Linked DNA regions of Macaca fascicularis. The protein of the gene in region 2 purifies or fractionates together with the protein of the main gene of each other region. This does not show direct contact. Links are inferred from orthologs where the notes say so. Each region holds a gene or a part of one and is shown on either strand. Other genes may lie near its edges.

Region 1 (6,295 bases), on a different chromosome or scaffold from region 2:
GAAATGCTGAATGATGCTTTTTGAAAATTCCTACTTCAGCAGATTAAATGAAAAACCACCTAGTAAGGACTATCATAAAATAATGTGACCAAGAAAATCACAAAATTGTGAGTCCCCTGAGATAATAATGTAGAGCTGAAAAAAATGTTTCAGCTGGGTAAAGATGCATATTGTGGTGGCAGAATACAGTAGTAGAAAATGAAATGGAGGGATATCAAGACATCTGGAAAAGCAATTTCATCCATCTGGACCTCATCTGAAAATGTTAAGTTTTAGAGAAGAATCTCAGGAGGTTTCAGTTCTATAAATGTTTCAGTCAAAATGGAATTTCTAATAAAAAAAGAGACAAGGGATTAACTCATTTTCCTATGAACAAACAAAAATAAAGAAAAAGGAAGCAGATAAATACATCACAATCACTCAGCTCACTAGAACAAAACCAAAAAATGAAGGTAAAATGACCATTTATACAGAGTGCTGGAATAGCAAAATATTAAAAAATGATCAAATTTAGTGGGCATGATGATATAGGCAGAAATGGGGAGGAAAAACCTGCCTTATATGTACTTTTGCAATATGCCCATATTTTGGCATACATTTTTACTAACAGAACTTAGCAAAATAAAAGGATTCCATGACTTCTCCATTAACTGTGATAGATTGTTTCCTATTTGAGCCTGGGGTTGAAGGTAAACTTAACAGATCAAAACAAAATATAGACCTAAGTATGTCAGCAGTGCTAAGAATTTGAGCATGAATGTCATGTAAGAGCAAACCCAAGCAAGTCGGTTATTAGAGGGCAACAAGTATTGTATCACTCTAAACTCTGCCTAGTAAGTATGTGATTGGCTCACATTTTTTAGACTTGTGGTCATTTTGAAAAAAATTTAACTGTAAATTTTTTTTTTTTTTTTGAGATGGAGTTTCACTCTTGTTGACCAGGCTGGAGTGCAACGGGGGATCTCGGGCTCACTGCAACCTTCGCCTCCCGGGTTCAAGTGATTCTCCTGCCTCAGCCTCCCGAGTAGCTGGGATTACAGGCCCGGCCACCACACTCGGCTAATTTTGTATTTTTAGTAAAGACGGGCTTTCATCATGTTGGCCAGGCTAGTCTCGAACTCCTGACCTCAGGTGATCCACCCGCCTCGGCCTTCCAAAGTGTTGGGATTACAGGCGTGACCCACGGTGCCCGGCCTAACTGTAAATTATGAGGACCAAGCACTCCTTATTTTCTCTTTCCTCAGTTTAACTTATTTAAGGCATTACTGCAGACTAAGCCTAAAAGTAATTTATTTTCAAATGATGCGACTTACTCTCTGGCCTAGACTTCAAAGATGTCAGTATAATGTGGATTGTATATAATTGTTTAAATTTTACAAATAACATACGCCTATTATAGAAATTTTGGAAAATACAGAAAAGTGCAAAGAAACAGGAAAAAAAAAATTCCTCCATCCGGTCAACAGAGTTACCATTATTCACTTTTTAGTTCCGCTCTATATTATACTTCTACAGTCGCTACACTACTCTAATATCCTGACTTAGTCACCTTTTACATCACGAGTATTTCCTTGGGTCATTAAATATCTGGCACTTTTAAAGTGTTTACGGGGTATCTTATTTTGTAGTAATGCTATATGTCCTGGTTTTTACAACAGTAAGAGAAAAAGCTACAGCCTATTACAAAACACTTCCTATATCAATGCGCAAAAGAGAAAGGTGGACATAGAAAAGGGGAAAAGTAACGTGAGAATCAGCAATAGAGAAAAAATAAGTGAGAATCGCTTAATTAGAGGCAAGATAATAGGGCTAAGTCACATTATTGATTCTTGACTTTAGGACAAAAGGGGTACATGTTACGCACCTGTGTTCCAAGTTTATAATTGCACCTTGAATAGCGATTTATTTAATTAAACTCGCGGTTTTACAACCTAAGCAAATACTGCTAATTCTCCCCCGACTCAATCCCCCTTGAGGCCGCCTTTTAAATGCTCCGACTCCCTTCAGAGAAACCCTCGAGGTAAAAAGAAAAACCTGTCTGGCAATCCAGACCTGCAGTCGCCACTATAACCAGAGTAGCAGGCAGGTGTGTGCTAACTAAAGCCACGGCCAACAGAGCAAAGATACGCCTACAGCGCAGGCTCGGAATCCCCTAGCTCTAGGGCCGCGCATGCGCCAATGTAGCTTCGCGCTCGGGTGGCTGAGTCCGTCACAGGACAGATGATCAGGGTGCGTCCGCCTTTTCCTTCCCCCTTCTATCCTCCTCCCCTTTCCCCTCCCCTTGTCCCTCCTTCTTCTCCCTCCTCCCTCTCTCCCTCCCTCTGGCGTCTCCAGCCGACTTACGCTTCCTGTCCGCGGCCTTTGGCGGAAGAGTGTCCCGCCTCTTCCGCTCCACAGCGGAGGCGGCTGTGGCGGTGGCCCTGGTGGCGGCGGCGGCGGCAGCGGAGCTCGAGCGGTTCCTGTCAGGGTCAGCCGGCGGGCCCCCTGGGTGGTCCACCTGCAAGTGGCGGAGCGGTGCCCCGGGGATCGATGGCGATGAACTATAACGCGAAGGATGAAGTGGACGGTGGGCCCCCTTGTGCTCCGGGGGGCACCGCGAAGACTCGGAGACCGGATAACACGGCCTTCAAACAGCAACGGCTGCCAGCTTGGCAGCCCATCCTTACGGCTGGCACGGTGCTACCTATTTTCTTCATCATCGGCCTCATCTTCATTCCCATTGGCATTGGCATCTTTGTCACCTCCAACAACATCCGCGAGATCGAGGTGAGGGGAGGGAGCTGTGGTGGGAGTTGGCGTTGCTCGGGAGGACGGTCCTACGCGCCCGCCCCACTCCTTTCCCAGCGCCCTGAAGCCAGTTGACAGGCAGACCCCGCGCCGCCCACCACCCCCTTCCCTCTGTTTTTTCTTTCTCTTTCTGCGGGTTTCCTGAATTTGCAGCTTTGTCCTAGCTTTGTCTTGCGATTTACGAAAGAGCAAATCGACGGGATGAGCTGAGACGGAATGAATGTTTAATGCAGAAGATGGGTCAGGTGGAGAACGCTTCTTCAGTAGGCGGTTTGTGTGGTTCCATGGGGGATTAGCGGGGGTTGTTCACGGAGGTAAAAAGAGAAGTGGGGGCGGGGGCAATTGTAGCTAGGTAGATGCAACCCTGAGTGAATTGACAGGGTCAAAAGTGTCATTACCTTTGTGGGCGTTATCCGAAGACACAGAGATGAACACCTTGGCCATTGTTGGGAAAAGAACCAGAGTCGTAGAGGTATTGACGATTCTAATGTAAAGAAGCTGTCGCATGTTATCAGGTCACGTATGAGGACTTACGACAAATGTGCATAGTACTTTTCATTTTGAGCTAATTCGATATTTTCAGTTGTGGGGCAAGATACACAGGAAAGATAACCTGAAACTTCAATTCTGGTTTTGCTTTTAGGCTACGTTTATTAATGGGCCCTACATTTGCTGGTCTTTTTTTTTTTTTTTTTTTACAAAAAGAGCCAGTGACCACATTCAGGGAGTAAGTTGTCCACTGTCTACCAAACATTTTACTGATACTAACTTTGCTGAATATGTAAGACATGACAGGAAAACTTGGGGAAACATTTCTTTGTCAGAAGCACAGTATCTTTATCTGTAGGGGTGAAGATGGTTGATAGTACACTGTATTAATATATGCTGTATAGGTGTCCAGTATTAAGCATCTCTCATCTTTTCTTGCATATCTGAGAATGTTGTTGTTTTCTAAATCTATTTGAAAGGGCAGGAACTAGTAAGAAGTTCTCTTGATTCCTTCTGTTCTATTTATACACACACACACACATTTTAATAAATATACTTACCTATGTGATTTAATGGGACTTTGAGAGTAATTTTATTTTTAACTACTGAAATAGGGATGGGGTTCCACTTTAATTTGCAGTGTTCTCTCTAAAAGCAAGATTCATGTGTTTTGTAATTCTACAGTGCTTACTTCAGTGTTGACGACAGTAATGAGAATAGTATCTATAGCATAACTAGTTTTAAAATTTTTTACTAAAAATTTATTCTCAATTTAATAACTAAAGAGTTACAGTATTTTTTTCAGCATGTATTTTAGTTTGTTTTATCACCTTAATCTCCCTAATAATCCTGCAAATGTAGTACTTCTTGTTCTAACCATACTAGGATCACACATTATATTAGTATATGGGCAAAGTGGTGTCATGCAAGGAACATGGGCATTGGCTGGGGTCAGGCAGAGCTGGTTTTAAATTCTAGCTCAGCTACTAACCATCTCAGTTTCTTGGAAAATTTCCTTAATCTCTCTGAGCTTCAGTTTCCTGCAAAATAGGTAGAATAATTCATATCTTCTAAGGTGTGAGAATTAGAAGCAATGTAAATAAGATGTCTGGCAGTAGGGATCTGTCTCCTGATCCTTAATCAGGAGATGAGAAAGAGAGAGTTTGAGATTTGACAGTAAACTAGTTAAGAGTATTATAAAAAATGAGACAGAAACTCAGGTGTCTTGACTCCCAGCTTTAAGCTTTCACCCTACACTAAGATCCTTACTGCAATGTTAATAAAGTAGAAGAAAATAATTTAACATCTGAAATTTGAATGATTTTATTTAAACTTCTTAAGATAAGATGAAAATAGCAATAATTTGGAATTGTGTATAAGTTAGTATTTTCAGAGCTCAACTTCCATTAATATTTACCATAGTAGAAAAATAAATGTTTAACTTTTCTTAAAATCTTTGGGTTTTGGAGTAAAATAAGGTTCCTCACACTAAGTAGTAGACAAAATAGAAATTTTTCAAATAGCTCTCATGTGTAATTCTGATTTCAAGTTGCCTGAAGAATCTGCTGCAGCTTAGCCTGGTTAAAAGGGCACTGAAGAGTCAGGGAATTAGGGTTGAAATCCCACCTCTGTCACTCTGTACTTTGTGATCTTAGGTATAATTTTGAGTCCAGTTTCTTTACTTGAAGAACCAAAAGATTCAGATTAAACTGCCTCTAAGAGGCTGTTCAACTCTAAAATTCTATGATATCCAATTCAAATGTGATTTTTAAAAAACTGGATGTGTTTAAATTGTATTGCCTTTGGAGCAAGAGGAAATGAAAACTAAGAATAATTTAGAATTTTTTACTGACAATGAACATACAGTTGTGCAGACAGAATCCACATATGTATTTTTAAAGTTTGGATGCTGGATATATAGAGAAATGCTTCTGAATTGTGTCTGGAGTTATTAGAAAAACCTACGGAGATTCCCCAAACACACATACTTGTTTCCTTCTTGTTCTCTACTCTGTTAGCCACTAGTTGTAATTGGGTAATGAGAAGTTCTTACCAACATTCACTCTCATACTGTAAGTTACTCACACTTTATTTTTTATTTGAGAAAATCTTCATTGCTATATTAGTTCAAATTACTAGGGCAAAGGAGACTTGTCAAATCCAAATGCTTTTGTAATATAGTTTAAAGTGCCAAAATCAAAAATTCAAACTTTTTCAAGTATAAAATCACTGGATTTTTCTCATTCCTGCAGAAATATTGCACTAAAAATTACTACTTTTGAAAAGTGTCTTGGATACCCCTGGAAAAAGATATTTTCACATTTTAATGCTTACATTTGGTAGCAGATTTCCTCTACTTGTTAGATTTATGTATCTTATTTAGTTGGTTTTTAGATTTTCAATAATCTAAATAAAATGAGGCTAATAGAAAATCATAATTCATCATTCATGAGAAAATATTTTAAATATTTAATATCTTCATTTATTATTAGGAGCAAGGAATGAGGATTTCCTTTAATTTGGCAGTTGTGAGTCAGGCACATCTTTCAAAGGCATTAATTTTCTAGTCTAGGGCCCTTGTTGGTGAGACTGAGATGCAGAGGTTACTTGAAAAATAGTGAGGTTATTCTTAACTTTTGTAAAAGTATTTATCAGTGTGAAGTTACATAGTTTTAAATTTATGGTTAAAGTCAGATTAGGTTGTTATTCAGATTAAATTTAAAAACTAAACATTTACTTCGTGTTGCCAAAAGCATTCAAGGTACATTTTCATGAAACCTTAGTGAATTAACTCCCCATTCCCCACGTTTAATAAACTCAACTTTCTTCTTCACCTTATTATTTTATTTATTGCCCTCGATTATTTAATCCTGATTATTTGCTGTTGTCCTAGTTTCTGATAAAAATTCTTATGTATGTTTTTACTCCTAAATTGAATTATTAGGTTATAAGATTTTTAAGGAGATTAAATTTCTCATCTGTATTTAGTAATGTTTGTTATACTTAGCCTTTAGCTAAG
Region 2 (5,629 bases):
TGGTTTACGCTGCATTTGGAACATCTGTGTGGAGCCAGTTTGCACTTTCCTGTGCTTTCTAACAGTCCTAAGGGAGCCGGGGTACCAGCGTCTTCCTCGTTGTGACTCCAGGGAGTCTGTGGCCTAAGTTACCCTTTAAAACCATGTGTGTTCCATTCAGTGAGAAAAAAGAAAAATTAACAGCTCTGCTTTCAGGGTGTCTTTTCTCCCAAAAAGTTATATTTTTTTTAATAATATGGAAGAGATATTTTTCTGCTATTTCAGAAATGCCCCCCAAGGTCTCTGGAAGATTCAGTATGTTACTGTTTTCCATGGTCTTTTAAATTGTATTAGTCCGTTTTCATCCTGCTGTGAAGACATGCCTGAGACTGGGTAATTTATGAAGGAAGGAGGTTGAGTGGACTCACAGTTCCACACGGCTGGGGAGAGGCCTCACAGTCATGGCGGAAGGTGAATGAGGAGCAAAGTCACGTCTTACGTGGTGGCAGACGAGAGGGCGTGTGCAGGGGAACTTTCCTTTATAAAACCATCAGATCTCGTGAGACTTAGACACTATCATGAGAGCAGCATGGGAAAAAACCGCCCCCATGACTCAACCACCTCCCACCAGGTCCCTCCCACAACAGGTGGGGGTCATGGGAGCTACAATTCAAGATGAGATTTGGGTGGGGACACAGCCAAACCCTATCATAAATTAGAATTTTGTTTTTCAGATAATTTTACATCCATATGCAGTTGTAAGAAATAATATAGATTTAGATTATATTAAGAATAGATTCCGGCCGGGCGCGGTGGCTCACGCCTGTAATCCTAGCACTTTGGGAGGCCAAGAGGGGCGGATCACGAGGTCAGGAGATCGAGACCATCCTGGCTAACACGGTGAAACCCCATCTCTACTAAAAATACAAAAAATTACCCGGGCGTGGTGACGGGCACCTGTAGTCCCAGCTATTCGGGAGGCTGAGGCAGGAGAATGCCATGAACCCAGGAGGCGGAGCTTGCAGTGAGTTGAGATCCGGCCACTGCACTCCAGCCTGGGTGACAGAGCGAGACTTCTGTCTCAAAAAAAAAAGAAATAATAGATTCCGTGGACCCTGATCCCATGTCTCTCAGTGGTGATATGCAAGAAACTGCAGTCCAGCATCACATCCAATGTGTTGATGTTGATGCCATTCTCCTGTTCCCTTATTCAGATCACGCAGCTTTCCCTGTGCTCATGTACGTGTGTGTACATGACACCTGTCTGTGTGTGTTCAGTTCTATGCAATCTTCTCACATGCGTGGTTCCTGCATCTACCACCACAGCCAAGACCACGCGCTTCCCTGCCCAGGATGCTGCAGGAATCCGTGCATCAGCCTCGCTGCCCTCATCAGAATATTTAGCCATTCTATGGGATCTTGATGGCTTGGACCCAAAAATAATCACTGTAGGTGATTAAGGACGACGATAAAAAATTTGTTGTACGTCTTTAATAATTGGGAATAAATCTGAGAAAACGGGAGAGGATATACCGTTCTAGACATGTATCCAGAAGGAATCCTGCAAATTCTATCTTATTGAACAGGCGTAAGGTGTCACGTCAGGCGTAAGGTGTCACATCAACTGTAAGGTGTCACATCAGGCGTAAGGTGTCACGTCAGGTGTAAGGTGTCACAAGCTCAGTGAATGTCAGGTGTGTGCCTTGTGTTCCGTGTTCGTTACTTTCAGAAGCAACAGCGCATGGCTTGCATCTCTCTGCCTATGACGATATTGCAGTGAATATGAGAGAAAGAATCTAAGCAAAAGTTAGCCAAGGACATGAATGGGTAGTAAAATGCTGGTTGTGACGGACATGCCGCATTTGTGGCCAGAGCACAAACCTCGTGTTTACCGGCCACACACATCTTATCCCATGAAGACAACGTCCAGGGACGGCCACCCCGGAGCCCGGGGGCGGCGCCGAGCCCTGATTCTCGAGGACACACGCTGTGCACTTTTCTCCTCACATAGGGACGTCGCCAAGAATGCCCTGCTGCGCTGGCGAGTGTTCATCTACTGGACGCTCCTGGGACTGTTTGACGCACTGGTGTTCTTCTTTGGTGCTTATTTCATGTTTGAAAATACAACTGTGACGAGCAACGGGCAGGTCAGTACGGAGCTCGAGCGCGCCGACTCAGCTGCTCGGGAATAAACCCTCCCAAGCCTGTATGATGATTTTGTCAAAGCAGTAATTCAGTGCAGCCCGCGCAGCTTCCCAACGGGGTCGATCGCCACATGCACGTCGCTCCGGGTCGCATTATCTGAGTGCTCAGTGTCACTGGAAGGAAATGTCCTACTGAGGTTTTTTGTTTTTTTGTTTTGTTGTTGTTGAGACAGAGTCTCGCTCTGTCGCCCAGGCTGGAGTGCAGTGGCCGGATCTCGGCTCACTGCAAGCTCCGCGTCCTGGGTTCATGCCATTCTCCTGCCTCAGCCTCCCGAGTAGCTGGGACTACAGGCGCCCGCTGCCTCGCCCGGCTAATTCTTTTGTATTTTTAGTAGAGACGGGGTTTCACCGTGTTAGCCAGGATGGTCTCGATCTCCTGACCTCGTGATCCATCCGCCTCAGCCTCCCAAAGTGCTGGGATTACAGGCGTGAGCCACCCTGCCCGGCTGGCCTGCTGAGGTTTTCAGACTTTATCTCTGTAGGTTACAGTTCACCATCAGCTCATTACTTAGTGGTAGAATTACACAATTTAGACATTGCGTTGTTTTTGGGTTTTATTTTTTGAAACGGAGTCTCGCTCTGTTGCCCAGGCTGGAGTGCAGTGGCGCGATCTTGGCTCACTGCAAGCTCTGCCTCCCAGGTTCACACCATTCTCCTGCCTCAGCCTCCCAAGTAGCTGGGACCACAGGCACCCGCCACCACACCCGGCTAATTTTTTTGTATTTTTAGTAGAGATGGGGTTTCACCGTGTTAGCCAGGATGATCTCGATCTCCTGACCTCATGATCCACCCATGTTGGCCTCTCAAAGTGCTGGGATTACAGGCATGAGCCACCGCACCCGGCCTAGACATTGCATTTTTAATATGAGAATGAATTCCACGTTGAGCCCGTGTTAGATTTCCCCGAGCACCGTACTTAAGTCTGCTTCTTTTGCAATGAAGAGATTTGTAGTTTTCTAGTGAACATTTAGTCTCTGGTTGGTTGCCTAATCCCTGGGGGTTTGTTTTATTTGTATCTTGCTTTTTTTCTTTTTGCCACTGGCTTCCCTTCCCACCCTCAGATAATGACTACCAACACACACGTGGTAAGACAATCGTGGGTTTGTCGTTTCTCTGTGTTTTTGGAGTGCATTACAAATGAAATATTTCTCGAAAATATTTTCAAACGTGACTTCCTGTGTGCTTTGTCGGTGGAAACGCTGTTAGCCGCTGCTGCCCCACGCACCCCGGAGCTAGCTCTGTGTTAGAAGGGGCGTGTGCCCCACGCACCCCGGAGCTAGCTCTGTGTTAGAAGGGGCGTGTGCCCCACGCACCCCGGAGCTAGCTCTGTGTTAGAAGGGGCCTGTGCCCCACGCACCCCGGAGCTAGCTCTGTGTTAGAAGGGGGAGTGTGCCCCACGCACCCCGGAGCTAGCTCTGTGTTAGAAGGGGGCGTGTGCCCCACACACCCAGGAGCTAGCTCTGTGTTAGAAGGGGCGTGTGCCCCACGCACCCAGGAGCTAGCTCTGTGTTAGAAGGGGCGTGTGCCTCCTGACACACATCCTTGCTGTGTTGCCTCGGTTTCCATGTCAGGGTGGCCCATTGAGTCAGGGATGTTTTCTGAATTGACTGGATTGATGGGAGCTTCCCTCGACTTTAAATTAAAAGCAGCACAGGCGTGTGTGGGAGGCCTGGTGGGGCCCCGTGCTATCTGAGAGAGCCGCGCCAGCCGCTGAGTAGATGTCAGAGACCATCCCTGCTTAAAGGCCGCAGGTCTTTAGCCGCACAAGCAAACACCAGCGCTGACCTCGGAGAAAGTCTCTCTTCAGCAGCCCCTTCTGGGTGACTTCTAAACAGAAATCGGCTTTGTTCCCGGTTTAGCCTGACCTCTCTCTCCATGTGTGTTTGTCCCTCAGACTGCTGGGTTCAAACACAGACGTCCCTCTGCGTGTCCTGTGCACTGTCTACCTGCTTTAGTCATTTTCACTTCTCATTACTAAACTCTGCTGTTATCCTTCGTCATCACTTAAATCCGTTTTTACCAGGTCGATCTTGAGAATCCATTCAAATGTTATTTCACTGTTTTAAAAGCTTTAGGTTTTTTAGAATTTATTCTTTGTCTTAGTTTATTTTAATTGAATAATTCCCGAATGCCACCAGGCCATGAATGTCATCATGTTGATTCTTTTGTATCTTTTATGAGATTTTCCTCCGGGTCGGGCTTACGTAAGCATCTTGTGTAGCCCTTAAAAAGAACTAAGACGTAGTGTCCTGAGCTCTGAGACTCCAGGCTCCTGGCAGCCTGCCGTGGCGATAGCAAGTCCCCTTTTTCCCGCACTTGATTTTCCAGTTTTCTCTCACAAACGTCGTCCTGGTTCACTATAACCATCCTTTTCAGCTGGACGTTCAGATCACGTGAAAGCTGAGGAAGGAGCAGTTCGGACAGATCAGACACCCTGTGCAGGGTCAGTTCCCGAGGGGCAGGGCCTGGGTCACACACAGACGTCCAGCATCAGACTTCATGGTGTTGCCTGGTGCGGCCTCTGGGTTGTTGTAATTCTGAATTTCAGCATGAATGTGAAGGTGCCTCCCAAGAGCCCCTGGAGGTGGACTTCAGGGGCGAGGACACTGGTGCTACTGTCCTAGGAGGGCTGCTGGCTGTGCTCCTAAATGAGGTGCTGGCAGTGCAATGCCAGGGGCTTCCTGGCAGGGACTCTGCAGCGTCTCTACCTTGTTGGACCCCTGGAACCCTGACGTGTCCCTGGTCAGCTGTACCTGGTGGTCAGTGGGCACTGTGGCTCTGCTGCCTTTCCTGGAATCTGAGGGTTTCCACAGGCTCCCGTTTCCTGGTCTCTTCTGGCTGTACCCTCCAGCCCCCGGCTACATCCTGGAAGGTACCCTGAGCCCCACAGAACCCGCACTTACCCCCAGCGTGATGCCAGCACTCACGGAACTTGGGGGTAGTCCTAGCGGCTGACAGCCCTCTTGGTCCTTGCATAGCAATTTGGGGTTGGGGTGCTCACCCCTGAGAATTTTCCCTTCCAACGAGGATACTCCCAACAGGGTTACAGTCCAGAGGCCCTCTGGGATTGATGGTTCACGGGTGAGAGCTACTTTGTTTTAAAGACCTAAATTATTCTAAAGGAATGTCTATAGATCCTGTGTGGCATGGGAGGAGCAATAGAATTACGGACGTCTTTTTCAAAAGTTCACCAGTGGAGCATTTTCTGCACTGACATCGTAAGCCATAGTAACTTCTTATTTTGATGCCACAAATGAGATGCGAAGACAACAGTTACTTGTTGAACAGCAGGATATTCCTAGGTGAACGGTTAAAAGCTTGGAATGTGCTTTGATAGACTTTGATACGTAAAACACAGAACAGAAAAAGGAGGTTCGCGTGTACCCGAGTTTGCATTACGAATTTTTAAATGCCAGCTGTGCGGGAATTTCTGTGCTCAGTTTGAG

Evidence for each region.
Region 1: the proteins of ATP11A (region 2) and TMEM30A purify together in Homo sapiens (co-immunoprecipitation; 4 studies listed by BioGRID and IntAct, with this or other methods). This does not show direct contact. The link is inferred for Macaca fascicularis from reciprocal best matches to the Homo sapiens genes ATP11A and TMEM30A.

What each region holds. Positions count from the first base shown.
Region 1 is NC_088378.1:99,839,545-99,845,839, forward strand, and holds the start of TMEM30A (cell cycle control protein 50A), read left to right. Parts: upstream 1-2,188; 5' UTR 2,189-2,220; coding exon 2,221-2,766; intron 2,767-6,295. UniProt on the Homo sapiens protein: Accessory component of a P4-ATPase flippase complex which catalyzes the hydrolysis of ATP coupled to the transport of aminophospholipids from the outer to the inner leaflet of various membranes and ensures the maintenance of asymmetric distribution of phospholipids.
Region 2 is NC_088391.1:103,275,521-103,281,149, forward strand, and holds part of ATP11A (phospholipid-transporting ATPase IH), read left to right. Parts: intron 1-1,990; coding exon 1,991-2,126; intron 2,127-5,629. UniProt on the Homo sapiens protein: Catalytic component of a P4-ATPase flippase complex which catalyzes the hydrolysis of ATP coupled to the transport of aminophospholipids, phosphatidylserines (PS) and phosphatidylethanolamines (PE), from the outer to the inner leaflet of the plasma membrane.